4 linked regions of the Tamandua tetradactyla genome follow. The protein of the gene in region 2 interacts with the protein of the main gene of each other region in a biochemical or structural test. Links are inferred from orthologs where the notes say so. Each region holds a gene or a part of one and is shown on either strand. Other genes may lie near its edges. The genes, in order: RGS4, GNAQ, RIC8A and GRK2.

The links.
Region 1: the proteins of GNAQ (region 2) and RGS4 form a complex in vitro, tested with the Homo sapiens proteins (3 studies listed by BioGRID). The link is inferred for Tamandua tetradactyla from reciprocal best matches to the Homo sapiens genes GNAQ and RGS4.
Region 3: the proteins of GNAQ (region 2) and RIC8A form a complex in vitro, tested with the Homo sapiens proteins (2 studies listed by BioGRID). The link is inferred for Tamandua tetradactyla from reciprocal best matches to the Homo sapiens genes GNAQ and RIC8A.
Region 4: the proteins of GNAQ (region 2) and GRK2 form a complex in vitro, tested with the Homo sapiens proteins (3 studies listed by BioGRID). The link is inferred for Tamandua tetradactyla from reciprocal best matches to the Homo sapiens genes GNAQ and GRK2.

Annotation. Positions count from the first base shown.
Region 1 is NC_135330.1:16,333,673-16,340,886, reverse strand, and holds the start of RGS4 (regulator of G-protein signaling 4), read right to left. Parts: upstream 3,095-7,214; 5' UTR 2,960-3,094; coding exon 2,916-2,959; intron 113-2,915; coding exon 8-112; intron 1-7. UniProt on the Homo sapiens protein: Inhibits signal transduction by increasing the GTPase activity of G protein alpha subunits thereby driving them into their inactive GDP-bound form. Activity on G(z)-alpha is inhibited by phosphorylation of the G-protein.
Region 2 is NC_135328.1:108,702,249-108,709,987, reverse strand, and holds the start of GNAQ (guanine nucleotide-binding protein G(q) subunit alpha), read left to right. Parts: upstream 1-4,640; 5' UTR 4,641-4,719; coding exon 4,720-4,855; intron 4,856-7,739.
Region 3 is NC_135335.1:32,951-40,952, forward strand, and holds the start of RIC8A (chaperone Ric-8A), read left to right. Parts: upstream 1-4,883; 5' UTR 4,884-4,982; coding exon 4,983-5,066; intron 5,067-5,259; coding exon 5,260-5,307; intron 5,308-5,405; coding exon 5,406-6,002; intron 6,003-6,434; coding exon 6,435-6,523; intron 6,524-7,017; coding exon 7,018-7,168; intron 7,169-8,002. Other genes in the region: BET1L (BET1-like protein), read right to left, coding at 1,656-1,823, 1,962-2,018, 2,246-2,337, 3,418-3,436.
Region 4 is NC_135335.1:7,144,741-7,151,801, forward strand, and holds the start of GRK2 (beta-adrenergic receptor kinase 1), read right to left. Parts: upstream 3,195-7,061; 5' UTR 3,163-3,194; coding exon 3,050-3,162; intron 2,417-3,049; exon of another isoform or gene 2,037-2,416; intron 1-2,036. UniProt on the Homo sapiens protein: Specifically phosphorylates the agonist-occupied form of the beta-adrenergic and closely related receptors, probably inducing a desensitization of them. Key regulator of LPAR1 signaling.

The sequences.
Region 1 (7,214 bases), on a different chromosome or scaffold from region 2:
CTCTTACCTCTGACAAATAACCACTTTGTCCTTCTTGCTGTGGGAAGAATTATGTTCACAGGAATCGGACTTCTGCAACAGGAAACCTAGACGATGTTTCATATCTTTTGCACTGCACAGAAGAGGAAAAAAGAGAACGAATAATGATAACTAGCTCTTTTTAAAAGGCACTTTAGGCCAGACTCCTAATACAGGCTTCTTCATTAGTAACTAGAATTCTGACCCTTCATCCTATCTCAAGAACCTCTTATATGGACCTGTCACATTTGACTGTTGGAACTCTTTGGGATCTTCAAAAGCAACACAGATGTTCGTTAGGTAATTCATAGGAATTGTGAAGCAATCGGTTACTGCAAAATGCGGCACTTCTTGCTGCATGCCCCCTTCTGGTGGGTGGTTGCTATTTCCATCTGCCTCACTGCGGGAAGTGAGGGATATAGGAGCTCCTCAGAAAGGTGCTGTCTGTTCTGTTACAGCCATGCATGTGGTAGGCGAAGCATTTGGTGTTATGGATATGCAGGGATTTATATACTGGCAGAGGGAAGTGGAACATGGGGCGATAAATGCAAAGGGTAGCTTGCAGTCTCAAATGGTAAAAACCTGAGCTTCTTCAGATTTGCCCCTGGAGAATCTACTGCTGCTGCTGCTTTCCTTTTTAATATCTGCATTACAAAGCATATTTATACTACAAAGGGCATGAAAAGTAAACAAGTATCATTGCTGAAGCTGGTAACTGCTAATTGCTGCAGAGATTCTAGCCTATTGCCAATGTTTAATAGATACCTATGGTACAGCAAGGCTCCTTACTTAGGCTAAAGGAAGGACCTTTTAAGAAGCTTTCAGTTGAAAATTCTCACTCTGCATTAATTATTCTTTTGCTTGTATCTTTTTTTGTTCTAAAAGCTAAAAAATTAGTATTAAAAGTGAAATGTCATTTTAAAAGAAATGAATGACACTATGCTCTTACTCGGAGGGAGAAATGTAAAGCCACAAGGATGAAAAGACATTTAGGATGGCTACTGATAGACTAGTGGTTTATCTATGTGAGTTTTTCCCAGAAAGTTTTGAATTTCATTATGTTCGTGGATTGTTCCTTAAATAGCATTTTCTCTCCCTCACAACACTGCTTCCACTCTTCTGCTTCCTTAACTGGCAAGATCATTAAATCATGCATGTGTATATGTGCGTGTGTATATATATATGTATATACATATATATGCATAGTCATATATGTGTGTATATGTATGTATATATTTATGTATAGTCATATGTGTGTATATGTATATATATATTATACATACATACATATGATACAATTGTACAAATAATAAAATCATGAAGGTCAACTGGATAATATAAGTATCTTGTGATTCAGTCCACATTTCCAGGTGGCTAACTCTGTCGCGAACAAACATTTATTGGGGTCATTTCATGATGAGCTGGGAGTATGCTTAGCAAGTAAATTACTTGTCCCTATACCACCTACAACCATAAAGATAAAAACCAACATGACCTCAGAGGTCACGTGAATAAGGAAACCTGGATGTTGTCCTCACTCTGCCACCCACCACCTATGTGACCTTGAGCAGTTCAGGTCCCCTCTGGAGTCTCAGGTACTAAAGCTAGAAAGAAGGTGTTGGATCAGACAGTTTACATTTCACCAGCGAGGAAAGTGGTACCTAGCTCACCCTGCTGATATAAAGTTCACCTTGCCCGGTTAGCTTCTTAGCATCTTGAGGGCAGAGTTCTCTAGTGCAATCTTTCATCTGTCTTTCAAAATATTTACCAGAGTGAAATTCTGTATTCTGTAATGGTTAATCTTATTTATGAGTTAACTGAAGCATGAAATAATTTGCTCTATTCCGTTCAAATTAATGGTGGAGGTCAGAGGCACTTATGCATAGGTACGCTCTGTCAATACCTCACACTTCATTTTAAAGAAACAATAAATATTTTAACACCGCTGAGTGACAGGTAAAAATTTTTGAAAGGTAAACTTAATAACACACAAAAGACTGGGTTATCTGGGATTATTTCCTGTTTGAAATTCAAGGTGACCTCTAATTGCAGAGGGTCAGGGGAGGGAATGATATACCTTGAAATTGACTTTCCACCTTTAATTGCAAGATTAAATAATGTAATGTGTACTCATTTTTTCCCTATTAGCTTATATTTGAGAATTTTCTGAATGCATTTATTCAAACCTTTAAGAGTAAAGCTATGGACAGATGAGTAGCTGCATATCTTTAAATTTTGAATCACAAGATGGTCCATTTATAAAACACTCTCTTTAAGTTGAAATTGCTTTATTAGGACCAATACTTCCTCCCAGCCACCATTCACATAAGATATTTCAAGAGCTAGAGGTGGAGGCAGGGAGATAAAGTTGTCTAGTTTTAAAGCTCATTTTTTATTGTAACATTTACTTATAGGAACATAGAGAGTACAAGATACTGCAGCATCGTACAGAAAGCATCATGCCCTTCTGTGGATATAGTCCAACCTCATACTGGGATAGCTTCCCCAACACAAAATCAGAAACAATATCAGAAAGTCCAGAGCTGCAATAGTATATACACCAGTAATGCCCAGATAGCAACTATAGTCTCAGGAAGAGATATTACAGACCACTTTATGTAGTTCAAAAGCCTCATATCACCTTTTAATTAGAGCTAACTTGGCTAGAGGAACTGGCATAAAAATCAAAACATGTCATTTAAAACGTCTAGGTACTGGACTTTGGGGAGAGTGCCTCTCAGTCACAATATCTAGCTAGTACTCGGAGGAAGGTAGAAAGTTGATGCTCTACTGACCACATTCTTTCTAATCTCAAAGAACCAGGTCACTGAGCAGGATATGTAAAATCTGAGAAGACCTATCCAAAAGTTTAACACAGTGGCTGAAAATCATCTTACCTCTTCAAGCAGGAAGCTGGCAGACCTGCAAGTCCTTTGCACATCTTGCTTAGCGTGGGATTCACAAGACTAGAAAAGAAACGCAGCAGGAGGAGCTGTGACTTCTGTTTGGAGTGCTCTTTGCCTTTTCTCCCGTAAGGATGCTGTCAGAATCTTCGGAGCTTCTCCCTCCCAAGCCTGTAGGGGTCTCTTTTATAGCCCAGCTCCCGGTTTCCAGCCAATCGGATAGCAGCTGTGTAATACCGATTTCTCTCTGTCTCTCCCTCTGCCTCCTCCAGCCTCTGAGAGAGATAAGGAAGGGCTGTCTCATCAACAAAGCAAAATGAATAAAGCGCAGAAAATCCTCTCGCAAAGTAGATGCACAGAAGACAACAATTTACCCAGTGTATCAGCCAATGTCTGAGGTTTTGAATTTTTAGAAAAGGAGAAGAAAAAGAGGCACGATGCTGCAAAACACGGAGTTTATTCACTTGCCTGTAAAAACAATGTCAAAGGAAAGCTGACCCCAGGAAGGAAGGTGCCAGCGGGAGTCTGTGGGATTTATTTGGAGCAGACTCCCAATACACTTCCTCTTTTGGATTAGAAATCTCACATCATGCATGATCCAAGATCTGATCTTCAGTAATCCCAAAAAGGAACTGGCAGGATCATCTGTCTCCAGGCAGTGATTTGCAGAAGTTGCATTCTTAGTTGTCACATGCAAACAGGGATATGGATGGGGAGTAGCTGCTTGGCAGGGTTACCTGGCAGCACAGAAAATAACTAGTCTGGGGAAAACGAATTAATTGCATTTGTAATCAGCCTGACTATGGAATACTTTTCTTGAAATCTTACTGAAAACAGAATTCAGGCTAAAACTGACCATCTCTCCTAAACATGATGCCTCCTAGAAAAAGCTAGGGGAAATAAAAAACAGCATAAGAACCACAGGAAGAGTACCATGGTTAAATAAAAACACCCATTTTTTTTTTGAAAATGGGGTTATGTCTTACGTGATTCTAGGTCTCCAAAATAATATTTCTAATAGAAAGACAGAGGAGAGAGAGGAAGCATCAAAATATGGAGTTTGTCTTGTATATCACCAGGCTTCAGATGAATATACAAATATCTGATCCTACAGTGCTTCTGAGTAACTGGATGATTAGTACGCTCCACATACAATGATGGACTAAATGCTTCAAGGAATCATAAAAGTGTTTCACATTATATAGTCTTAGCTGAAACACCCATGCCAGAACTTCTTGTTCTAGGCAAAGCTATGATTAGAAGGAGGAAATTAATTGCTATGCCTGATTAGGACGGCTTACATTTTAAAAGCAAGTTGATTATTGATCGTACGATAAATGAAATTTCTTGATGAAGCTGACAGCTGTCTTTGATAGTGTTGTGTAAGGGACTGCATGTGTAACGTGAAATGATAGAAGTCAACAGGCCAAGGAAGGTTGACCCTGGGAGACGAGTCAGTTAAAATTGGCACCAAAGCAGAAAGACTAATTAAAAAGGAGAGGAGGTCATCCAAAGATTTTCTTTGGTTAAACATGCACCTGAAAGAATGATTATTCAAATAATGTGATTTTAGGAACACGGAGAAGGACCCTTCAAAAGTTTTAATGATGCTTCAAATGCCACAATAAGAATTTTTCTTTCTTTCTTTCTTTATTTTTGGCATGGGCAGGCTCTGGGAATCCAACTCAGGTCTCTGGCATGGCAAGCGAGAATTCTGCCACTGAGCCACCTGTTGCACTGCCCCACAGTTAAGAATTTTATATCTTGGATCTAAACCAAACAGAGGCCTGATTTGTCATGAACAACTCTAGATGAGTTGAATGGGGCTTTCAAGATGATCTAATTTAATATGTTTGGTTTGCCAAAGAAGAAATAGAGGCTCAGAGATGGGAAGTCATTTGCCAAAGCCAAGCCTCCCACTTACAGAGTTAAACTGAACCCCTGTATGACAGATATAGCATCTCCTACCTGACCAAGGCTTGACCTCCCTCTTTCCCTCTGCCTCAGACATCCCTTCCTGTAACACCCTGGAAGCATACCAAGCTTTGGCTGCTATAACATTGAGTTCAAACTACCTTAAACACATCTTGTTTTGAGAAAAGAGCACATTCTCCCAATATTTGCACATTAGTCCCTGGCATTTAGCTACCTTTGTTCCTCAACTATATATAATCTATAGAACTGTGTCCATAAGCATGGATATACTCCAGTGAGCATTTGACTGTCTCACTGTCCGTTGTGTGGTAGCTGCAGCTCTCTGTATGAAAGTTCCCCTAATAAATGCTTTTGGACTGATGATTTGGTGTTTTTAGTATCTCTTTCTCTGGAATCTCAACTGGAGGGAGGTTTGGAGAAGTCCTGGTTGGGTCTTTCCTAATTTCTTCTTTAGGGGAAAATCCTGCTGCTGGTCCAATGGGATGCAATAACCCCAGTTTTCTTGACAGTAGGTTATGTAGACTTTTCTATCCTATCACCCAAGAGTCTGATCAAAAAAGGAGATATACTCTGTAATCTGAGGATTCCTAAACAATAAAATTCTATGCAAATTTTTATTAATAGATTATACACAACAAATAAAAACCCTAATATTAATTTTGTATCCATCTACCAAGTTTTCTCTTGTTCAACAGAAGCAGAAGTCACTGCAGATCTTACCACTCTGGTTTTCCACTAGACATCACTTTTTGTTTGGACTTTCCATATTCATTCACTTTATTATTTTCTTTATGAGAGAATTTGTGAATTTATAGAGAAATCATTTGCAAAGTACCGGCTTGCCATGCATCACCTTATTATTAACACCCTGCATTAGTGTGAAACATTTTGTTACAATTGATGAAAGCAATGTTTATAATTGTATTATTAACGATGGCTTAATTTAGGACTGTTTGTATAGTATAGTTCCATGGATTTTTTAAAAAAATTTATTTTATAAATATTTATATATACAACCTAACATTTCCCCTTTTAACTATATTCAGATACGGTTTTCAGTGCTGTTGATTATATTCACGTCGTTCTGCTACCATCGCCACCATCCATTACCAAAACATTCTCATTATTCTAAATAGGAACCCTGTACATTTTAAGCCCTAACTTCCCAACCTCTCCCTGGTGCCCTGGTTTGAAAGTATTATGTACTCTAGAAAAGCCATGTTTCAACCCTGATTCAATCTTTTAGAGGTCATCACTTCTTTGAATCATGATTCAATACTGTAGGCTAGACTCTTTTGATTAGATTATCTCCATGGAGGCATGATATACCCAAATGACCACTGATTAGATGGAGATGTGACTCCATCCACTCCAGGTGGATCTTGATTAGTGTACTGGAATTCTTTAAAAGAGGACACAGTTTGGAGAGAACCAGAAATGACAGTAGCCTGAGCCAAAAGAGAAAGAGCCCACAGAAATGACAGAGTCAACAAAAATGACAAAGTTGACAGAAAAAGAGAGCTGAATCAGATGCCAGCACTTGGAGAACAGAGACATGGATGTTTGGCGATGCTTGGAGACCAGCAGACATCACCAGGAGATGTTAGGCAAACCAGAACCTAGAGGGAGCCAAGGGAAACCAAGAGATGAAAGTCAGCCCTGGAGAAGCAAAGTGAGGAACCCTTCCCCCTACCAGGAACAGAGACTGAAAGCAATGGAGCCCAGGAACAAGAGACTGGCAGATGCCAGCCACGTGACTACCCAGCTGACAGTGGTGTTCCATATACATCAGTCTTTCTTGAATTAAGGTTTCTTTCCCTGGATGCCTTAGTTTGGACATTTTCATAGGCTTAGAACTATAAATTTGTAACTTACCAAATTCCTTTTTTAAAAGCCATTCCAGTTCTGGTATATCACATTCCAACAGCTTGGAAACTAGCATACCTGGTAACTTGTATTCTACATTCTGACTCTATAAAGTTTGCTTATTCTAATTATTCCGTATCGGTGAGATCATACAATATTTTCCCTGTTGTGTCTGCCTTATTTCATGATGTCTTCAAGGTTCATCTATGTTGGAGCATGAATCACAGCTTCATTTCTCTTTACAGCTGAACAGTATTCCATTTTGTGCATATACCACATTTCGTTTATCCATTAATCCATTGATGGACACTTGGGTTGCTTCCATCTTCTAGCAGTTGTGAATAATGCTACTATGAAATTGGTGTGAAAGTTTTCAAATCCCTCCTTTCAATTCTTTTTGATATATACCTAGAAATGGGACTACTGGGTCATCTGGTGATTCTCTACTTAACTTTCTGAGGAACTGCCCAATGGTCTTCCCAGTAAGTATAC
Region 2 (7,739 bases):
ATTCCTTGTGCCAGAAAGCTTTGCACAGAACAGCTCTTTCTCAGCTCTTGTAAGATCTGCAATGCTTCAGGCAGAATTCTAATTGGTCTTTGGGGTGATCATTGGGTGCCCACTCATACTCCTTCGAGTTGCTTTGAATGGTGGCTTTGAATGGTCCTTCTGGACTCTTCTAGCAATCCTTTCTCTGTACTGTGGGGTAGCAGCGGCTGTTGCTCATGTTTTGTTGATCCTTTTATACATGTGACTGCCCAAATAGACTATTAAGCCTTTAAGGGCTGTGGATGCCTCAGGCACCTGGCCATTTGCAAGCGTGTTTGTCGTTAATATAGTTGATGGCACTCTCTTATTTATTCAGCATTTACTGAGTGTCAGTTTTAGGCTAGGCAATTTTTTAGGTGCCCTGAAAACAGTTACGACAGACAAGGGCTCTGCTCTCAGGCAGCACCTAATCTTCTGGGGGAGAGATGCAATTACATTACAGTGTTGTGGGACATGCCATACATTGTCAGAGAGTCATGGATTATTCTATCGGCTTTTCCTTCCTTTTACAAGAAAGGGCTTTTCCCTTTTTGCTTCCAGGAACACTCCTTGAGATATCAAACGACGTTTTTACCGTTGTTTCCCCCCCCCAGTACCCAAAAGAAATTGTGGGCTAGGTATCTGTCTCAGGATACCACAGAAGACGTGACAGTCTTCACATTTTTGTAGAGTTGCCTCTGAATTTCAATGCTCCCAGGGTTTTTGTACTTTGCTTTTCAGCCATCTAGTACTTGCCCTTGCATTCTTAAAATGGTTTATTATCTCACTGTCTGTTTGGGGTGAGTTGCTGATTGGTTGTTATGGGGGTGTAGATATATATTTATTGAAACCCTGTTTATTCTCAAATGCCACATTTCCTGTAGTTATCTTGAGTTCTACACAGAATGAATGTTTTTTCTTTTTTTATACATTTGTATTGTTACTTCTACCCCTACCTTAATACAAATTGATTTTATTGTAGTAATTCAGAGTCTCATTATACCTTGAGACCATAAGCCTCTAGAGGGCCAGAGCAGCATTTTATTCATCATAGTCTCTCTTCCTGCACCTTCACCTTGGTTATTTCTAAATAGTCGGCACTGAGTTAGTTTGTTGACTCAGCAACCTGGAATTTTGCAATATTTTGTAATTTTGTAATATGGTGTGGTAGCTTGAGTTACGTACCCCGGATTAATTTGATTACATTTTTTTTCTTTTTTTTTTAGCATGGCAGGCTCCTGGAATCAAACCCGGGTCTCTGACATGGCAGGCAAGAATTCTGCCACTGAGCCACTGTTGCACTGCCCTGTGTACCCGGATTTAGACATGTGCTTGGTCTTAATCCGCCTTCCTGTGGGTGTGCATCCACAATGAATAGAACATCTTGAAGATGTTCTTTTTGGTTAAGGTGTGGCTCAACTGAATGAGGCTGGGTCTTAAACTGGATTACCGGAATACTCTATAGACTGAAGAAATTCAAACATAGGAGCTGGAAGCTGGAAGTCAGTCAACAGAACTGGGAAGGGAGAGGAGAGGACATCAACATGTGATAGGAAAACCAAGGGACTCACGATTGCCTGCCAGCCAGAATGCTACCAACTGAAACTGAGAACCAATAAAGTCCTGTTTTTAAGCCAATTCATTGTGTGGTATTTGTCGTAGCAGCTGGGAAACTAAGGTACTTGGTTAGTTGCATATTTTTAAATGTCTAGAACACGATCAACAACTTGAGTAGTTCCTGCATGAATTTTGTTTGTTTGATGTAGGTCTTATCAATGCTTGCTTGATGAATGCTTCCCATATATACATATAAAGGTTTCTGGGTAGGTCTGGGTTAGTACATAGAATTTTCTTGTCTTACTTTCTTCTTGCCATCCATATATGGCTCCATCCCTACAGAGTATTGTATACCTTATTTCCTGATTTCTTCCCAACATATGAAAAAATATGTTTTTATTGATTTTTTGTATCCATTCCAATATTTATTGGGTGCCAGGGAGTGGGGATATAGGGGTGACAAAACAGACTTTGATTCTACAATCTGTTACAAGTTTAATTCTTTTAATCAAATAGATCAATTCAGTCTAAATGGATTGCCTGATAGCTTGATAGCACAGTTTGAGAGACATTTTCAAAAGCCTCACATGGATCCATGGGTAGGAAACCAGAGAATTGAGGCCTCCTGTCATTTGTTTTTCTGTCTCTCTGAAACTTGTGTATATACATATTTTAGAGGATGCAAACTCATAGTTAAGTTTCCCCCAGAGGTATTCTAAACTTTTGCATGTTAAATTTTAATCTTTAATTTCATTAGTCACCTAATTTAAAATGTTAATTTCATATCAAGTTGTAAGCTTTCACATAAAAGGTGTGAGGTTTGTCTTCTCTGCTCTCCTGGCCATGGTGAACATTAATCATTTTCTAGGCTGAATATCTTTTTATGAAGGGAACCTACAATATCAGATCTTATATCTTTATGACTTGTTTGATCTGAGTCCTCGCTGAGAAAGAGAGAGAAGGGGACAAGGGATGGGCTGTAGCAAATGAAGGAAGGAAATCACATACCTATCATCCAAAAACCCTATGTGCATTCTTGACTTGCGGCACTAGCACAGTCAAAACTTTACACTCTGGATGAGCAAGTTCCACCAGAAACATCTCAGAGAAAATATGAAATTTGAAAAAGACATTCCCTTCCTAAGATGTAGTTTACTCTCAAGATGTCAGGTTCCATCACAGCTGGAAGTAATATAGGTGTCATCTCTTGTAGCCACTAGAACTAAACGCTTCAGCAAGGAGATTTTGTTCTTGCTGCCATTTATCGGTAGTGTATCACAACGAAAGATGCAAACGACATTTTCAAGTGCCTTAATCAAAAGTGGGAAAAAAATAACCTAGAATGGGATTTTGCTGGGTCGGTGTTTGTTTCCCCATTTTCTATTTTATTCTTTCCTTTTCATTTATTCAATGTGCATAGAATGCACGCGCAATAGAACCTCTGTCTAGGGGAATAAAGTAAGTTTGATTACTTGGCTGTTACACATCCTGAGCCTTTTCAAAACAAAAGGAGAACTTGTAAAATATAAAAGCCAGAAACAACCTCAATTGCATGAAAAGTTGGAGGCCATCAGGAAACTCTTGGGCAGCTTCATTTTCTCGGCTCTGGATTTAGATTTGTATCTGCAGTGACTTTGTGGACGGTTTCGCCTATTAATGATCTCCTTAACCCCTCTGGGAGCCAGTGACAATTCCTTCTCTTCTCCACCCCACAATCAAGAGTATCTTATTTTCTAAGACTGAACTCGGGTCAGAGGTGACGCGAGATATTTTCTAACCGAATGGCGTTTTAGAACGTTTAGGAACGGGAAAGAATGCATATGTGGTTGAAGAGCTGCTCCGCCGAGCAGAAAGACGCTGCCTGAGAGCCGTGGGCGCGAGCGCCTCCGCCGCCCGCGGGGTAGCCAGGCAGGGTGTCCGCGGCGCCAGCCTGTTCAGTGAGTTCGCGGGTCTAAATCCTGCCACTTCCAGGAGGGGCTGAGGCCGCGTACCCAGGCTGGTGGGCCGAAAGGCAGCCAGAGGCAGCCATATTCCCGCTTTACCACGCCCGGGCGGCCAGCCGGGCAGCTGCAGGTCGGCGGCCGCCCGAGCCGCAGCAGCGGATACCCGTTGGGGCGGCGCGTCGGCGAGCGCGGGCGACCGGGTCCCCGCCCCAACCTCCGCTCTGGGCGGCCGGAACCGCTGCGCCCGCGGGCCCCGCCGAGGGCGCGGGAGCGGAAGGCGACCGCAGAGCCCGAGGGGGCCGGCCCGGCGCGGGGAGCGGCGCGGGCGAGGCGAGAGCCGCACTGGGAGGCGCGTCGCGGCGGCAGCGAGCCCAGGAAAGCCTTCCAAGAGGGGCCGGGCGGCACCGCCTCCCGACTCCCCTCCTCCCGCGTCCATTCCCTCCCTCCCTCACTCCCTCCCCCTCCGCCTCCTCCTACTGCCGCCTCCCTCCCGGATCTGTGCTCCAGTTCAGAGAAAGAAGAAAATGTGTGTGTGTGGCGAGGGGGAGGGCGAGCACTGAGCAGCCGCTCCGCGCCTGGCAATCGGGGCCGGGGCTGGGCGTCTGGCGGAGGCGGAGTGCGCGGCGGTCGGGCGGGCCGGCGAGCGGTGTTTGCGCGCGAGCCGGGCGGTGGGCGCGGGCAGGGCCGAGGGCGCCCGGGAGCCGTGTCAGGCGGCGGCGAGGAGCGGGCGTGCTGGGCGAAGGGAGCCGTCGGCGGCCGCTCGCTGCGGGGACGCCCCGGTGGATGAGCTCTAGCCGCCGGGTGCAGGGCTTAGAGGACCTTCGGCTGCTCGGGGGGCGAGGCGGGTTGCCGGTTCCCGGGGAAGGAGGCGCGGGCGTCTGAGCGAGGCCGGGCGCGGCGGCCTTCCCTCGCGCGCCCCCCGAGCCAGTGCCTGCGACCGCCTCCCGCGCCCGCCTCGCTCCTCCCGCGGCCGAGGCGGCCGATCCGGGCTGCCAGCTCCCGCCGCGCCCCCGGCCCACCTGGTGGCCCCGGCCCTGGCCGCGGCTTCCGCGGAGGCTCCCCGAGCTCGTCCCGGACGCGCGCCCGGGCGGCGGGGGCTCGGCGGCCACCGCTGTCTCGGGGGGGCGAGGGCGGGAGGGTGTGTGTGCGTGCGTGTGAGCAGGGGGTGCCGGCGGGGCTGCAGCGGAGGCACTTTGGAAGAATGACTCTGGAGTCCATCATGGCGTGCTGCCTGAGCGAGGAGGCCAAGGAAGCCCGGCGGATCAACGACGAGATCGAGCGGCAGCTCCGCAGGGACAAGCGGGACGCCCGCCGGGAGCTCAAGCTGTTGCTGCTCGGTGAGTACGGCTCGGGGTCAACCGCCCGGTGCTCTCCACCTGGGGCCTCGCGCCCCGGGTCCGCCGCCCCCGGCCTGTCGGGGCAGCTGCTTTCTTCGGCCCCCGCCCCTGGGCGCCCGCGGCGCGCCCCCGGCCAAAACCCGCACCCGCACCCTGAGCGGGTGCGCGTGCGCGTGCCCACAGACACACACACACACACACACACACACACCACACACGCGCACATGCACACACACACACACGCACGCACGGGCATGGGTCAGGGCTGCCCTGCCCGGTGTCTCGGCGTGTGCCTTTTCGTATCCCCGAGGGCTGTGCATTCGGGGTGCGGGTTTGACTGCTGTGCATTTGTTTAGTGGAAAATCACTTCCCGGCGGAGCGCGGGGGTGGGAAGGTGGGCAGAGGGATTGAACTTCCAGTGTCGTGGCCTTGGTTCTCCTTGGGTGGTGAAGTGAGGAGCTGCATGTGTGAGACCCCGAGGGTGGCGAGCGGATTCAGGACACTCTGAGAGATGGAGTGCGGTGGGATGGTCTGTGTTTCTATTACCAGCGTATGCCGGGGTCAGAACTGAATGGTGGAGTGGTGGGCAGACGCGCGACTGGATTCTCCAAGGAGTGATGTTGAGGGAGCCCAGCAGTGGGCCAGCTAAAGAAAGAGGGCTGATGTATTGGCTAGGGGTCGGGTGGGGGGTGGGGCAAGCCCAAAGGTTGAATTGTTCTCTAGCCACCAGGCCACAGAATGGGGAGACCCCAGAAGAGTTTCTTGGCCATCAGATGGTGACAAGCGCCTTTCTTGTCTGCACCATTCCTTCCGGATAAAGATGAAGGATAAGGGAGCGTTGTACTGTGTGGTTGTTGACAGCGATGGATATCTTTTGTTTAATAAGGCAAACCCAAATGTAGGCCTGAATTCACAATAGTTACTGCTGAAAACCAGTGCAGCCTCCCAGTTATTCTCATGGAAGCAAAGAACAACCTTTTGTTTGTTGAAAACGGACAGCAATTTTAATATCTTTGAAATCTGGGTTGGAAGGGAAAATGGGAAGCATAGGGCAAAAATTTCTCTTTAATCTTTGAAAAAAGAACTGACCATTCTGCTTTAACATTAAGTTAGCGAGAAAATGCCATTTCTCAAAGAGGAATTCTATTGATTATTATCTCTGAGAGAATGTTCAGAATCAAGTCATCAGGGTTCACATACAAGCCACCCTGTCATACTTCTGAGGTATTGTGGAAGGAAGAGCAAACAGCTTTGCAGTTACAGGCCTGAGAAATGCTTCCACTTGTGTTCTGCATACTTGTGTGTATAATACATACGTTTCTCAAATATTTTCTGTAAGAAAAGAAAATTGTATCGTCAGTGAGGGTTTGAGAAGCAGGCATTTTCTTTCTTATCTTGAGCTGTATCTCCTGGTTAAAGGAAACAATTGCCTTTGGGACAGAACTGCTTATGTCCTGGATCATTTGCAAGAAGGAACAAAGTATAATGATCACATATAATTATCAATGGTTAATTCACGTGCCATGGCTTTTTGTCTTCATTTGAAACCCAATTAGATAAATGAGTACGTGTGTATTAAAAACAGAAGGCAAAGCACTGGTTGAAAGAGGTAGGCTTAAGGCAATGAAGCCGGGGTGGAAGATGTAGATTTTTTTTCTTCTTTTTTTGATCCTCTCATTTGGGTTACTTCTAATGGCTGAAAATGGTCTGAATTCCCAAGATGAGGAGAAAATAGAGGGAGCAAGAGGACTTTATAGTGCTTAAGTGCATCATTAAGGGAAAAAAAGTGTTTTAGTGTGATTTGTTTAAAGAATTGTTTTTCTTTGTATTTTGTCTGTTTACAGTTTTATTTGCTTTTGTTTGGCTGTAAATGGGGTGTTTGAGGTCTTTCAAGGCAGCCCTGTTGCCTGAAATGTGGCAGCCTTGGGTTTTGCAGCAGCTGAGGGTTAGAGACCTGGGGGTTTTGTCAAAGGGTCTAGGTTTGAATGGCTAGAAGGAAGACTTCAGGGGAAATGAACACATATGGATGGTCAGTTACATACTGTTTATTTAAATAACCAACTGTGCTTTAAAAATTAACTTGGAGATAATTTGCCAAGGAATAAGAATTAAAGAAAAACAGGTTTACTGCTATGGTGGTGGTAGTATGGATAACTTTTTTTTCCTATTAGATATTTGAGAAGGGTTTCATACAGTCTCCTGCTTTCCTCAAATATGGCCTGTTAGAAGTGGTAGAAAAATATATTAATTTAGAGCCCACTTGCATTAGTTAGATTTAAAAATTATACAGCTTGCTATCAGAAACGTGATTCGAAGACATCATGTAAGAATTGCTACAGCTTCATGTTCTAAATATGTTGCTTTGGTGACAACTGCTGCAATACTTACACTATATATATAGTCATACTATCACTAAATGTAGATTTGTTCATGTGTATGGGTGTGTGAATTCCTGATTTTCTGGGCCTTGCAGGGAAATGATGGTTGATTTCTGGAACAAGGAGAGGTGCAGGGAGGGCTTCCTTTTACTCCTGATGTCTGGTGATGATGAGTGAACTTTGTGTTCTGACTCCTTCATTCATTTAAATAGTACTTATTAGGAGAAGGTTATGGCCTTTCACAGTTTAAAAATTTACTAATATTTTAAACCTAATTTATTTAAATTAAGGAATTACCCATGTATGGAAATTTCAGCATAAAACTTTTTAAAGTAAATTTTATTTCAAAGCATGATGCCATTTTAATGAATTTGTTTGGCATGGATAGAAATGCATTTATTTACATAATTAGTTTATTTTTGTAAATTAATAATATTGAGAAATTAGAAAAGGAAACTCACGATTACCTACCTAGATGATATCTGGCAGTAAAATTTGGGCTATTT
Region 3 (8,002 bases), on a different chromosome or scaffold from region 2:
ACAGCCTGGGGTGGGGGGGATGCAGAGCAGGGTTTGGACACGCTGTCCCCAGTGCCTGTGCCATCTAGGTGGCAGTGGACAGGTTCCCTGTGGTGCAAGCAGAGAGGCCAAAGCCCCAACACACAAGGACACTTGGAAACAAGAAAAAGCATCTGCAGAGCCTGTGGAGGAGGGAGGGGAGCTGGGAGTGACACATACCACAGCACACAATTTGGGAAAGCCTGAGATACGGAGATTAGTCCACACATGAGGACTCACTAGGTGAGGCAGAGTCAGAACAGAGTGCTCAGAAGTAAAAAGGTGGAATGACGCCTCTCCAGGACACTCAAAGTCCTAACCCTGAAGGAAAGGAAAGATGAGAGACAGCGTTAGGTGAGTGCTTGAACAGAGGAAAGGGGGGGCAAGGGGAAAGAGGCAGGAGGGAAGGGAGAGGAAGGGGGGGAGGGAGAGGAAGGAGAGAAAGGGGTGAAGATTATTAGAAGGATGGGGCCTGGGAAGTGAGTTCGCAGGGCTGAAGGCTGCATCGAGGCTGTGGGAGCTGACTGCAGCAGGCTATGGCAGACAGCCGGTTTAGGTTTCAGAGACAAAGCCTTCTAAGCTGGACAAACTCAGAAAGAGGCCTTGCAAGTGGGTGAACTGTGAGTCAGGGCCTCACAGAGTGGCCAGGAAGGCAGAAGATGAATCAGATAGGACAGGGGAGGGTCCCAAGCTCAATGGCTTGGTCTTAAAGGCATTGGGTCTGACCTGTCCAGGGTTGGTGTGATGGTGGAGAGAGTACGCAGTGGGAAATGAGGGCCCAGGGAGGGCGGTGGCTCAGAGATACATGCACTCAGGAGGAAGGGTCCCTCACAGTGGGAGGAAGGGCAGGGTTTGGTGGAAGAATAAGTTAACCACACATGGCTGGCAACCCCTACAGGTGACAGAGGCAGCAGTGTCCTGTGAAAAGCAGGTGGAAGGCCTCACCCATACTCAGCCACTCCTGGAGGTCTGGTCTCGTGGAACCCATCTGCAAGGCTGGGTAAATGCACACCCTGAGTGTGAATTCCTGCTCTGAACAAGCCCAGAAGCGCTTAGGGCTCAGAGCCTCTGTATCCACAGGCCCCAGGGTTTGGCTCCAGCTGCCCTCTGTCTACCCCAAGGAGGGAAATGAGCGTGAGCACAGAGGGTACTGGGGGAGGAGCTGGCCTGCATTGGTGTGACCTTGCCCAGGCAGCCTTGGCCAAGAGCAGCTGCTGTTGGAGAGGGTGGGCCAAAGAGATAGCGCTGTTTCAGGTTTGAAGGTAGAGTCACTTTTCATGCCAGCCTCATGCTGCACAAATCACACACATGGCCTTGCTCAGAGGAAACGGTAGAGGAACCTTGAGACGCCTGAGGGCTGGGAGAGGGGCTGCCAGCACAGTGCTATGTGTCTTCAGGCTCCAACCAGGGACTGGAGGACGCTGGGCCTCCTTTCCCCAGGGAAAGTGTCCCTTCCGTGGATGGGACCAGCCAACAGATGCTCATGTCCAGAACAGGAAGAAGACCTCTGACCCACAATCGTAAATTCAAAGGAATGTTGTAGGGAAGTGCTCCGGAGCCCAGGAGCCCAGGTGGGGCACAGGGTGGCCCTGGCTGGCCCCAGCACCCGCAGTGGCAGCTCGCCCACCCCCGCTCGCTCACGTCCGCGCCCTGGACAACAGGTAGGAGAGGATGAAGAAGGCCACAATCAGGGCCACAGCCACACTGCACAGAAGCTTCCGGTTGTCTCGCCCAGACCGTGCCATTGTGGAGAAGCGCTTCACACTCCCAGTGAGCAGACCCGTCATGCTCATGAAATCTGAGTCCTGAGGGAGGAATCCCAGTACTGTTACACGCGCTGGCACCTCCACACCCACCTCTGCTGGTGCCCAAGAACAGTGCCCGACCCCAGATGGTGTGGGCCCAAGCTCAGCAGGGCACCCTAGAGCTTCAAAGGCTCTTACCATGCCATCCAGGTACCGGTTCTGGTCTTCTGCATCCCTATCAATGTCCAGGGCAAGCTGGCCAGGGCACAGAGAGGGCAGGTTCAGGCCAGGCCAGACATGGGGCAGCACCCTTCCTCCCCCAGGACCAGCCAGAACAAACGCCACCCTCACCAAACACGAAGGTCAGAAAATGCCCCCCAGGCCTCAAGTAGCCAGCAAGGAGAATGGAAAGCAGCCTGGAGCCCCCCAAGCTGCACCCTCCTGGGGGTCCTGCTCCCAAGAGAAAGGAGACCGCCACAGACCGATTTGAGCCTGGTGACCTTGGAGGCCAGGTTGTCGGCCATCCGCTTGTTGTCCCGGTCCAGAATCTCCTCCACGACACCGGGGCTCTGAGCTGTAGAGACAGGCTGAAGTTGTGCATCCACCCATGAGCACAATCCCTGACCCTCAGACCACAGAAAGTTGGCCCTTTGTGGCCTCAACCCCATCTGCCTCAGTCTGAAGTCTGGGCAGGGGTGGGGGCTGGGTCTCCACCTGTAACCCGCTGGGCAGGGACAGGTTTGTGGCCCTTGTGTTTGTGCAACAGTAAACAACCACGTGGGAGCATGTCCCCTGTACACATGCAGGATGTGTGGCTTGCCCTCTGGGGTGTACCCCAACAGGTTCAGCCCATCCGGCACGCCAAGCCAGACAGGACTAATCCCAGGGAGGCAGTGAGACGCAGTACCTGCCTGCAGCAAGGTTACCATGCATGTACCTCCCGCCTGTCCTGGGGAGGGCCCAGGGAAGAGCACTAGCTCAAGGAGGACAGCCGCGAGGGCTGTGTGGGCGTAACCTGTGACCTGGTCCTGAAAAAGTAACCGATAACCAAGGGCAGGACATCGGGGAGGCCCTTCTATACGGAGAAAAGGAAGCGAGCAAAGTTCCCTAACCAAAATGTGGGCAGGGTCCAGCCCCGAGGGCAGGGCCTAGGTTTGCTCACCTATGTCCCCACAGCACCTCCCAGAACAACGAGGGCACGGTGCGAGACCCGCCCGGTAACTCCGGCCAACCCCATTCCCCGCTGCACACCCGAACTGGACCAGTGGCGTGAATGTATCACATTCGGTGGGTGAGACTCGCCCTCCACGGGGCCGATACCCTGAGAGTCCGAGGCCTTAGGAATCTCTGACTCGTACAGACCCGGAAGGAAGGGGCGGCTGCGGAAAGGCGCCCCGTTGTGCCAGGCATTGTGCCACGCACCCCGCCAACGCCTTCGCGTCCGTTCCCTCCTTCAGTCGTCACGACAGCCCAGGAGAGCGGGAGCGGCACCCGGCCGGACCCTCCCAGGCCTCCGGCGGCGAGGGGGGACGCAGCCACGTATCCTCGGCGGGGCGCTGACTGGGGGCTGTCCCCTCCCGCCGACGGGCGCCCGGGGTCGGATCCAACCCCGGCCCGTCCCGTCCCCCGGACCCCCGGCCCACCCCGCGCTCACCCCGAGCCCAGTCCGCCATCGCGTCCAGCGCCGCCGAGGACGTGGCGCGGGGTCGCGGGGTCACGGCGTCGCAGGGTCACGGGGAGGGACTTCCGGCCCCGCCCCTTCTGCCGCCGCGGGCGCGGAGGGACTGAGGAGTCCGACGTTTGTTTCATTGTCAGTGGACCCGGGACGACCTGGACCCCGCACTTGGGAGCCCTTGCGCCATTCGCTTTAACGTCGAAATGTCTTTTCTCTCGGTTATTCAGGCGAGGTTAGGTCCTAAGAAGTGGGAGGAGCGCCAGCGCCTTTGCCGGGGCGCGGTGTTGGCGCACGAGTTCGCCGCCCCACTCGGCCTCGAGTGACCTGGGGAATTTAACCTTCGTGCATTTTAGTTCCCGAGTCTGTAAGGCGGTTTCCTCGTTTGAACTTAGACCATTGCCTGGAACAAGTAAACCTGAATAAGTGCTTTAAAAATAAAATGCAGATAAGTAACAGTGAACCAAGGAAAAGGGTTTGGGGAAGGGGCAGCGGAGACAGTAGGAACCAGTGTTTCCTGCTTTTGAATCCTGGTACCAAGGGCCTGGCATGACAGATGTGTGATAAAAGAACAGAGAGGTGGGTGAGTAGTTTGTATTTATGAATTACTCACCGCTACGAGGTATCTTCTGTGTGTCAGTTACGAGTGCCTGTAATCCTCAGTGCAACCCCTTGAAGTGGACACTTTCCCCTCTGCTTTACAGAAGAGGACACGAACTCTGAGCTAGAGCGCGTTTCAGGGTTTCACAGCTCGGAAGTCGCTGCACTTACTCCGGCCCTGCGTTCACCCCCGACCTCTGCCAACCGAGCCGTTCCTTCTGCCTGGAGTGGCCTCCCCCAAGTCTTTTCACGGTCCCCTATCGTGAGCATCAGGTCTCATCAGAAGTAGCACTTCCCTAGAGCCTTCTGCCGACCCCCCGCAATTGGGGACAACAGCAGCCTGTTGTTTTTAAAACCACAACGCTTAGGACCACGCAGAGTCGTCTTGTCTGTCTTTCCTTGTCCGTCTTCCCCTCTGGAACCAGCTCCAGGACGGCAGGGTCTTCCTGACCCGCGTCCCCAGCGCCTCGCCTGCAGCAGGCGCTCCACGACGCCGGTTTAGTAAACCAAAGGCTCTGAGACCGCAAAGCCCTCTCCGCTGGCGCTTTCCTCCTCCATCCCACTCATTCTGTGGATAAAGATGGGGGGATCGGGAGAGTTCTCCTTTTGAAATTCCGGCCCAAGAAGCGCACGAGGGAGGGGTCACGGTTTGGCCAAGGGGTGACTTGGGCCCCAAGCCGGCGGGTCCCGGAGTCGGGGCTTCAACGCCAGCGCCGTTCCGGGTCCACCTTAAACCGCGCACCTTAAGCGGCGCGCGGCCTCGCCCCGCCCCCCGCGCGTGCCGGCCCCGCCCCGCCCCGTCCCGGCCTCCCCCGCGCGCCGGACGCGGGCTGCCCGAGGCAGGGCGGGGCCGCGCGCGGGCTGGACTCGGGCTGGACTTGGGCCCCGCCGCGGCGCGACGTCCCCCCTGGCTCGCGGCCGGAGCCTTCGGGCGTCCTGGGGGCGCCATGGAGCCCCGGGCGGTTGCCGACGCCGTGGAGACGGGGGAGGAGGACGTGATCGTGCAGGCTCTGCGGACCTACAACCGGGAGGTGAGCGCAGGCGGCGGACGTGGGACGTGCATGGGGCGGCGAGGGGCGCGGGACGGTGCCCGGGGTGCACGCGGCGGGGACAGGTGCGCGGCGGGGCGCGTGCAGGCCCCGCCTGGGTCAGGCAGCCCCCCCAGTGCGCGGCCCCGCCCTGTCCGGGGTCTGCGCTCCGAGAACCCTCCCGGTGTCTTTGCAGAACTCCCAGAGCTTCACGTTCGACGAGGCTCAGCTGGACGACAGGAAGGTGGGTGGCAGCGGTAAAGGGCAGGGGCCGGGGGTCCTAGGAGGCGCCGTGGGGAGGGTGTTGGGGCTCCGGGCAGCCGCCCTTTCATCTGCTCACAGAAACTGGCGGAGCTGCTCGTCTCGGCCCTGGAGCAGGGCTTGCCGCCCTCCCACCGCGTCACCTGGCTGCAGAGTGTCCGCATCTTGTCCCGGGACCGCAGCTGCCTGGACCGGTTCACCAGCCGCCAGAGCCTGCAGGCCCTGGCCCGCCATGCCGGCATCTCAGCCCCCGAGGGCTCCGCCCTCAAGGCCCCGGGTGCGGATATGGACGTCGTGCTGGAGTCCCTCAAGTGCCTGTGCAACCTTGTGCTCAGCAGCCCCTTGGCGCAGCAGCTGGCAGCCGAGGCCGGCGTGGTGGTGAGGCTCGCCGAGCGCGTGCGGCTCTCCCGGGAGAGGAGCGTCCCACATGATGTCCAGTTCTTTGACCTGCGGCTCCTCTTCCTGCTCACGGCTCTGCGCACCGACGTGCGCCAGCAGCTGTTTGAGGAGCTACAGGGGGTGCGCCTGCTGACTGACACGCTGGAGCTGACCCTCGGGGCAGACCCCGAAGACTGCGCCCCTGAGTGCCTCCCGCACCAGGAGACTGAGCGGGCCATGGAGGTCCTCAAGGTGCTTTTCAACATCACCTTTGACACCACCAAGAGGGAGGCAGACCAGGTGAGGCCCGAATCCTAGGCCCCGCGACATGCCAGGAACCTAAACGGATCTGGCGTCAGGCATAGAGAGGTTAGGGGAGGCCAAGGAGGGGCTCCCTCCCAGGAGAGAGGCATCTGAGGGAGATAGCTGTTCCTGGGTCTGGAGGTCCAGGTGCCACAGGGTGTGTGGTGTGATGGCAGGCTGAAGGAAACAGCCACTGCAGAACCGTGGGTGTGGACATCTGCAGCCACAGAGTCTTCAGGAAAATGGCACTGGTCGGTCAGCCTCACCACCCAGCAGGGTCGTTTAGGAGAGTACAAAGGCAGCTGTGTGGCAGTCAGAGCCACTGGTTCTCTGGACCTGCAGCCTTGTGTTGGAGGAGGGGCAGGGTGGTAGAGCATGCCTTCAGCTGGCAGCAGCCGCCTTCAGGGATCTGCTCTTCTCTCTGGTCAGGACACTGCCCTTTACCGACACCTGGGCACCCTTCTGCGGCGCTGTGTGATGGTGGCTGCTGCTGGAGACCGGACTGAGGAGTTCCAGGGGTGAGGGCAAGGCTCTGGGCTGGGAGCTGTGTGTGGGGTGGGGGGAGCTCTGTACTTGGCCATGTCTGGCTGGGAGGGGGCCTGTTGTGGGATTGGGGTGCTTCTCAGTCTTGGGTATAAATAAGAACCACCTGGGAGCCCCATTTCCCTTCTTGGAGTCTGAGTTCGCTCCTCTGATGGGACTAGCAAAGTTATTCATAACACCCAAGACCAAAAGCTGTCAGTCTGGCAGAAGGGCATGCCAGCCTGGACCTTGGTGTCAGCAGATCAAGATTGTCACTTGCCGCCATTCTCCATGACCTACTTCCCAGAGAATGTCCATGGCGTGAGGCAGCCAGCCCAGACAGAGGGGTGGGACAGGCAGGGCTTCTCCTGCTTAGCAGGAACAGGGGACCTGGCTGGTGCTGCCCTCTGGCCCCCTGACACTGGCTCACATCGCATGTGGCCCAGCAGGGCAGGCACCTGCCCACCCTCACCTGCACCCCGGTCTGCAGCCACACAGTCAATCTCCTGGGGAATCTGCCTCTCAAGTGTCTGGACGTCCTGCTCCCCCCGGGGCTGCACGAGGGCTCCCTCGAGTTCATGGGAGTGAACATGGATGTGGTTCGTGTGCTCCTGGGCTTCCTGGAGAAGCGCCTGGACCAGGTGGGTAGGCGACCGCGGGACCCTGGCCTTTCTGTGCCGCGGCTCCGTCGTGGTCCTCCCCGCAAAGCTTGCACACCCTTCCTCTTGAAGCCTTCTGTTCTGATGACTGCAAGGATGCAGATGGCAAAACAGCCTGTTTTCAGAGTCTCACGAGTACTCGTACTTGTGCTTTAGACCTTTGGGGCGATACCTTGGGAGCTCCTGGGAAGGCCCCAGTCCCTGCTTGAGTTCCTCAGACTTGTAGATTCGCTGTGTACAGGCAGCTAACCCATCCATGGCTCCTACTTACAAACATCAGTGTCCTTGGCTGCCGTCTCCCACCTCTCCCCAGTATCCCTGGAACCACAGGAATCTCTGGGCAGGCCTGACAGGTCGAGTCCCTGCTGCAGATGAGGATGGGCACATCCTCATCCCACCCCCTGCATGGCACATGGCACTGGAACAGGTGCCCTTTGTCCTTGCTGCTACGGCTGCTGGTTTGTGGCCAGAGAAGTGACTGGAGGTACTGGGAGGAAAGGGAGTTTTGCTGTCTGTCAACAAAGCCCATAGCTCTGAGGCACCCCTGGCCAAGGGGCGAGTGGAAAAGCTCTTCCTCGGTCTGAAACATCTCAGGAACTGCCTTCTTCCTGTTTTCTATTTATAAATAAAGCATTTAAATGACTGTTTGAAATCAACTAAGACATTACTTTAAAAAAATGAGAAAAATCAGGAACATAGATGTTTTCATAAAAGATTAAAAATCCACATGAAGGGCAATGCAGATCCTTTGGGCAGCAGAGTAGTTAGTGTCTGGCCGAGAGGTGCATCCGCGTGTCCCTGGGGATCACAGCCACC
Region 4 (7,061 bases), on a different chromosome or scaffold from region 2:
AGGGGACGGGGCATCTCCTGGGACTGCCCCAGGCAGGGCTCCTCAGCCAGGAGCCAAGAGAGTAATTACGGGAGGCCTCAGTGGTCACATTAAGTGAAAGATGGTAATTATAGGTCCGCTCCCATCGGCCGCTGGGGAGAGAGCAGATGGCGCACAGGGAGGCCCAGAACTAGGGACCCTGGGGCTGAAAGGGGTATCACTGTGCACAGGCAGCCCCCCATTTCACAAAGGTAGAAACCAAGGGAGGCCCAGAGAGGATAAGCGAGCTTCCCCGAGCCCCTTGTGAACTGGCATTGAAGGTGGTTTAGAAGCCAGGACCCCTGTCTTCCAGCGACACAACGAGAAATGGGTCTGAATCCTTGAGTTCTAAAGGGTGATAGAAGAGGAGGTCTCCATGCCAACTCAAAGTGGCACCGTGCCCAACAGCTCCTGTCCCCTGGCCCTCAGCAGTCAGAGAGTCAGGGACCAGCCACAAGGAGGGTGCCAGGATGAGCCACCCCGAGGTGGTGCCAAATGGCAGCTTGTCATTGGGACAAACCGTGGTCTCTCCCCTGACTCTGACCTTGTGAGCGTGGGGTTAGACAGGCCCCTGGGTCGGATGGGAGTTCTGGGCTCGAGCTACCTCCTCCAAGCACTAGCTTTCCCAGGGCAGCTCTGTTTGCAGCCCCAGCCGATAGAGAGGGGGCTGGGGCCTGTGAGCTGTGACAGCTGACGGCACTGGGAACTGTCCCGCTGCTTCCAGGCCAGTGACCCAGACCCATGGCTGTCCGGACAATGGGTGCCAGCCAGCACATTCCACTAAACTGTGCGCAGAGGCAGCTGGAGGTGGGCAGAGAGGATGAGGCATAGCAGGGAAAGAGCACTGGCCTGGGAGTTCAAAGCTCTGAGCCTCCCCTCTTTAAGCCTCAGTTTCTCCAAGTTTTCAGTGGGGGGAAAATACCACCCGTTGTGCTGCCAGGTATACCAGTGCAAGGCAGAGCCCTTCCCTGGGCTTTAGGACGCTGGCATTCAGCACTGGAGCCTGGAGCCCCAGTCACAGATACAGGTGGTTTGCCCAAACCATGCTGCCAGACGGTGACCCTATACTCGGGCCATGCCACCTTGCTCTCAGACTCCTGCCTGTGCCCTAACACAGCCCACCTTATTCCCACTCAGGAGGAGATAGCGTGGTCTTCTGATGTTTCTTGAGCAACTACTCCATGCCTGGCATGGTCTGGCCAACTTCACAGCTTTGCTTTTTGGATCAACTGAGATGACAGGTGTCAAAATAAATAATAAGCTAGGATAAGTTCCACCATCATTCCTATCAGCACCATCACTACCACGGGCGACAAAGGAGACAGGAAAAGAGGAACGTCTCGTTTCTCAGGGTTCTAACACCTGCACCGCCGACCCAAGGCGGGGCCCCGCCAGGAGCAGTGCACTCTGGGGAGAGATTACCCAAACGCAGAGAGTTCCAGAAAAGGCCCCACCCCATACTTCTCAGAACTCCAACCTGCAGGAGGGTCTCAGGCTACTACCACCAAGAAGAGACGATGTGAGCCCTAGAGGCTGAGCACACCCTGAGCCCCCCACTTCCTCCCTCATGGCTTCGTCATTTCTGAACTCATTTTTGTTCTAACTGTCTCTTCTCCCTGGACAGGCCCTAGCTGACAGTCAGTTCTGGTTCCTGTTTTGAGAAATCTGATTGCAAACGTCTTAGCAAAAAAAAAAAAAGGGGGGGTGGGTGGCCCAAAATGCAGACAAATTTTCCTCTCCCAGGCTTGGTATTCAGTCAATCTGAAACCCCCCCTGGGGAGGTACACTAGCAGAGGCTGAGCTAGGTGCCTCGAAGCCTCAGGACACTGCAGAGCCACAGCCTTCACTTCACACCTTCCACATTTTGCAGATGAGAAAACTGAAGCCCAAAGTCAGGAAGGGACTTCCCTAAAATCACACGATGAGGCCGGGGCAGCCAGGGGTGGGCCCAGAGTCCGGCTGGGGCCACAGAGGCCACCTCTGCACAGAGGGAGATATATAGAGGGGACCGGCCTCACCCCGTGACACGAGGACTGGTTGGGGGGCACACAGCTCTTGCAGGAGCAGAACATCCAGGCCCTGGCTGAGGCCAGCCTGGTGGCAGAACCTATAACAAGACGCCAGGGGCCCTGATGGGGGGACCCCGATTGCACACTGGGTAACGTGTGTGGCACCGGACAGGTGTCCTACCCACCCCGGGGGACTGCTGTGGGGCTCCAGCAACGGGGAAATGGTCCGTAAGCCACCAAGCACCGGGGCAGCCACAGCTACCCTCTGCATCCTGTACGCTTCGGCGCCTACATCCTGAACAGCCTTAAACTTTGATACCAGGCACGATGACACGAGCTGTCTCACAGAGGGGTGGCATCTGTGGCCCAGGTGCGGCAGAGGTGCGGGGCTGGCCCCTGGTAAACGACCCACCTGGGCAGGGCGCGTGCCCCACGGTGCCCCCAGCCCACCACACCAAACCCAGCCCCAAGACAGTGATCCCGCAGCAGGAGCAAGGAAGGGTCCTGAGAAGCTGCCCTGAGGCTGGCTGTCTCCCTCCAACTTCACTCAAGTAGAGACTGGGGTGTGGGGGGGTGGGGGGGAGAGCACCCAGCTCCCCTGCAAGGCGTGGAAGGGAGCTGGGAGTAGGGACAGCCAAAGGATGGGGGCTATCAACAGGCCAGGTAAATGGTGGCCCGCAGAGGGGAGGGGACCCCACGGGGACCATGGGATGCTCCGAGGAGGACAAGGGGGAGAGTGATGGGGCTCTGGGGGTGGGTGGGGGCAGAGGGCAGGAGCGAAGGGCTGACAGACCGAGGGACCGGCAGAGTGGGGCAGTGGGGGGGGGGGGTGGGCCCTGGAGTTGAGGCGCTCGGGGCTCAGGCGCACAGGGCCTGGGGTCCCGGGCTCCGGGGACCTGGGGGTCGACCCGGGGCGCGTGTGAGGTGCTGGGCCCGGAGCCGGGGCGCTGGGGCCGCGGGGGGTCAGGGGGGTCGGCGCTGGGGGGGGCCGGGGCTGCGGGGCCGGGGCCCGGCGGGCTCACCTGGGCTCGGGCAGCAGGATCTTCTTGCTGGCGCGCGCGGCCGGCGTGGCCTTGCTCTTCTCCATGGCCATCAGGTAGCTCACGTCGGCCAGCACCGCCTCCAGGTCCGCCATCTTGGCGGCGGCGGCGGCTGCTCCTCCCGCCGCTCCCGCTCCCGCTCGCTCGGCGCGCTCGGCCCGGCCCGGCCGCCGCTCCGCTCGGCCTCGGGCGCCGCCGCCGCCCGCCCGCCCGCCCGGCCCCGCCCGCCGCCCGCCGCCCGCGGCTCCGCTCGGCCGCCGCTCACAGGCGGCGCCGCCCCATGGCGCCAGCTCGGGCCCGGGCCCGGCTCCCGTCCGCTCCCGCCGGGACTGCAGTCCGGGCGCCGCCGCCCGCCCGCGCCCCGGAGCCGCCGCCGCCGCCGCCGCCGCCTCCGGCCCCGCCTGCCGCGCGCAGCGCCAGCGAGCCCGCGAGGGGCCGAGCCGGGCGGGCGGGCGGCGCGGGCGGCCGGGGACGCCCCCTGGAGGCCGCGCGGGCCGCCCGGCCCTGCCCGCGGAGCCGGGACCCCGACCCAGACTTGGGGGCACGATCCCGGATCCCAGCGGCCGCCCGCCGGTTGCCCGCGGATCTCCACCCTCGAGCCCCGACCTGGAACCGAAGAGGTTCGGGATCCGAAGAGGACCCTAAATTCAACTCGGATCCCAACGCCGGACCCCGGGACTCCACGGTCAAACCTCAGTCCTGAGGCCAGAGCTGTTCCGATCAAGACCCCAGACTCCCACTTCCGATCCCCGTCCACGATCTGACCCCAGAACGCCAACAGGACCCCAGATCCAGAGCTTGATCATGAGACCTTGACCCAGATCACAACCCGGGACCCTGACTCCACACCAGGACCACGACACGGACCCCAGATCTGGACACAATCGTGACCCCAGCGCGCCAACAGGACCCCAGATCCAGACTTTGGACCTTGACTTCAGACGCTGGTCACATCCCCAGACCCAGAGCGCTCCCTTGACCCTGATCCCCACACTCGGGGTCAGGGCCCAGACCTGGACTTGAGTCCTGGACCTGCCACCCAGGATGCTGGACATATAGCCCAAGGCCAGGGCACCCCACCCTGGACCAAGACTGGATGAAGAACCCTTATAGGGTCACCAGGTCCCAGCACCTGGACCTGACAACTGCCCCAGACTCCACTCCCCACCCCTCTTTCTCCAGACCTGGCTGCAGGACTCCCACTCAGGACCACGGACCCTGCACACAAACCAGCCCCAGCCCACCCCAGACCCAGGCCCCTGACCTGCACACTTGGGTCAGCTTCCCTCCCTGCATCCCATCCCATTCGCGATGATTCCACAACGTGGGATCAGATCTCCCCCCCCCAGCCTGGGAGGGCACAGGGGTCTCAGTACTACCTGGCAGAGGAAGCCCACCCTGCTGAGAGCCCACCCAAGCAGGTGGCTTAAATCTGTGTGTCTCTAGGCAATGCGCACACACACACACACACACAGAATCTCAACATACCCCACTCTGGATCTCCTCCCCACTTCCTTTGGCAGCAGGTTCGATCCCCATGGCAGTTGGTGGGCCAGCCACCAGGAAGGATGCACTTGCAAAGCAAGGATCCCACCCTCATGGGCTTCTTGGAGAAGGAGTAAGCCCCTCTGGCTAGGGAGCGCAGACCAGTCCTGGCAGAGCCTAGAACTGAGTGTGTCAGGGAGGTGAGCTCCCCTTCTCACTGGGTGGCACCGCCGTCCCTGCAGATACACACCCAAGTCAGAACTGCAGGTATCATCCCAACCCCTCCCTCTTCTCTCACCTTTCCCTACTCTAATTTATCACCACGCCATCCTGGGCTGGCCTCCTGAAAATCCTCTCGGACCACCAGTCCACTCCTTGGGGGTTGCTGCCCTGATGCAGGGCCTAACCACAATTGCCAGTCCCAAATCTAGAGCTCCTGGGTCACCACTTATTAAGCATGAAGATGCAGCTCTCTAGGACTTTGGGAGCTGCTGGGAGTGGGGGACCCACTTAAGCCCAAAAGCAGATCAGGTTGAGTTGAGTCTTGGATGGCTGGGCCCTGCCCTCATGTCCCACTACTGCTCGTTTTGCCACCATCCTCTGCACCTAAGGTTACCCCAAGCAGACTGCTAATCAGTTTTCACCTGCACGCCCTATGCCTGGAAGCCCTTCTTTGTGCCTTCTTTCCTGACGTTATAACTCCTGCTTGTCCTTCAAGACCCACCTCCTCCACGCAGCCTTCCATGATGCCCTAACCCCAACTGTGTCCATCCCTGATTCTGCACTCACCACCCTATTTCCTTGATTTGAAAACATCATCAGTTGTAAGGTGCACCACTGACAGTGAGGGGTGGGGCTTTATGGAACGTTCGCATCACTGGAGAACACATCCTGACATAGGAAATGCTCAAGCATGAAAATATAAAGGTAAATCTCACTGTAATCAACGCTCGGGGTTCATCTCTTCCCCCCTAGGCCTAGTTTGGCACCCATAACAGAAAGGCCATCAGTCAATATTGGATGAAAGAATGAGTGACCAAGTGCGTGAACTCCCTAGCCCGAGGTGACACATGGAGACGGAGGCAGCACCCGGGCCAAGGTGCACAGCAGGGGGCCCCTAACTCTCCCCCACCCCCTGACTCCTTGGGTTTTCTGGGCAGCCCCTATTTGAGAGATTCTGCTTGATAAACTTGTCAGAACAGGTTCTGCCTGTGGGTTCTGAGTTTGCCAGCCATCCTGCCCCGGGAGCTGGTCCTGCCCTCTCCCCACCCCCCGCCACCTCATAAAACCCTGACAACCCCTCCCGCCCTTGGCCCAGCCCATACCCCTAGCCTCATTGATTCCCGGGACCCAGAAAAGTGGGAGAAGTTGGTGTGACTGCCCGGCCCGGGTAGAGGTGGGGACCGGAGCCTGGTTTGGGGGGCAGTGCTGCCCTCTGGTGGTTCTGGGTAGGTCGGCAGGTAGACTTGCCTGGGTGTCAGACTCCAGGCATTCCTTCTTGCAACAAACCCTCATCCGGTTCCCAGACGGGGCCAGGCTGTGGCTGGGAGGCTGGCAGTGCCAAGAGCCATGGACCACCCTCCATCTCTGCCTGGGTGGCAGACGCATAGACGCTTTATTACTTGGCACCCACCCTGGGTGACTAACAGGTGCTGCAAGTGAAACATCCCACACTGAGCTCTCGCCACCGCCAACCAACCCCCTGCCCACCCTGCTTCTCTCCCGCACCCCCATCTCAGTCATGGCTCTTTCATCTTCCAAAAACCCAGGAGTCGTCCTCAGTATATTTCTGTCCCCTTCCCCACCCCACCCCCACACGCATACGCTGTAGTCCAGACTGACCTGTCAGCTACCTGCTGTGACTGTCTCCAAAATGTACCCTGAATCCTTTGACAGCGCCCTGCTAAAGCCCAGTCCAAGTCCCCATCACCTCTCACTTTCTGGCGAGGTGGGCTCCTGCTCACTCTGCTGTCTCATTGGCTGAAAGGTTTCCTTGGCGTCCCTGCCGTCACGGCTGTGTCCCTCATACCCAGCATGGCTCCTGGCACAACGCGAGGGCTGCAGGGGGAAATCGGACTCAGCGTTGGCCCAGTCTGATGGGAAAGAAGGCCCCTAATCATATACAGTCTTATCCATTATTCACGGATTCTGTAGTTGCAAATTCACCAACTGGCGAAAATGACTCTGTTCCCCCGAATTGATATTGGCAGCGCTTTGGCGGTCATTCACAGACACGTCCAGAGCAGACGAAAATTTCCAGCTGAGGTTGAACACCTTGACTCTTGGACTTGTCATTTCAGTTCTCATGCTGCTAAACAAGTGTGTTTTTCATGATATATTTAGTGCCATGTTTTTTGCGCATTTTGGGGGGTTGCTCTTTTGTTGGTGATTTTGCTGTTTAAAATGGCCCCCCCAGCGTAGCGCTGAAGTGCTGTCTAGTGTTCCTAAATACACGAAGACTCCGATGTACCTTACAGAGAAGGCACGTGTGTAAGAGAAACTTTGTCGA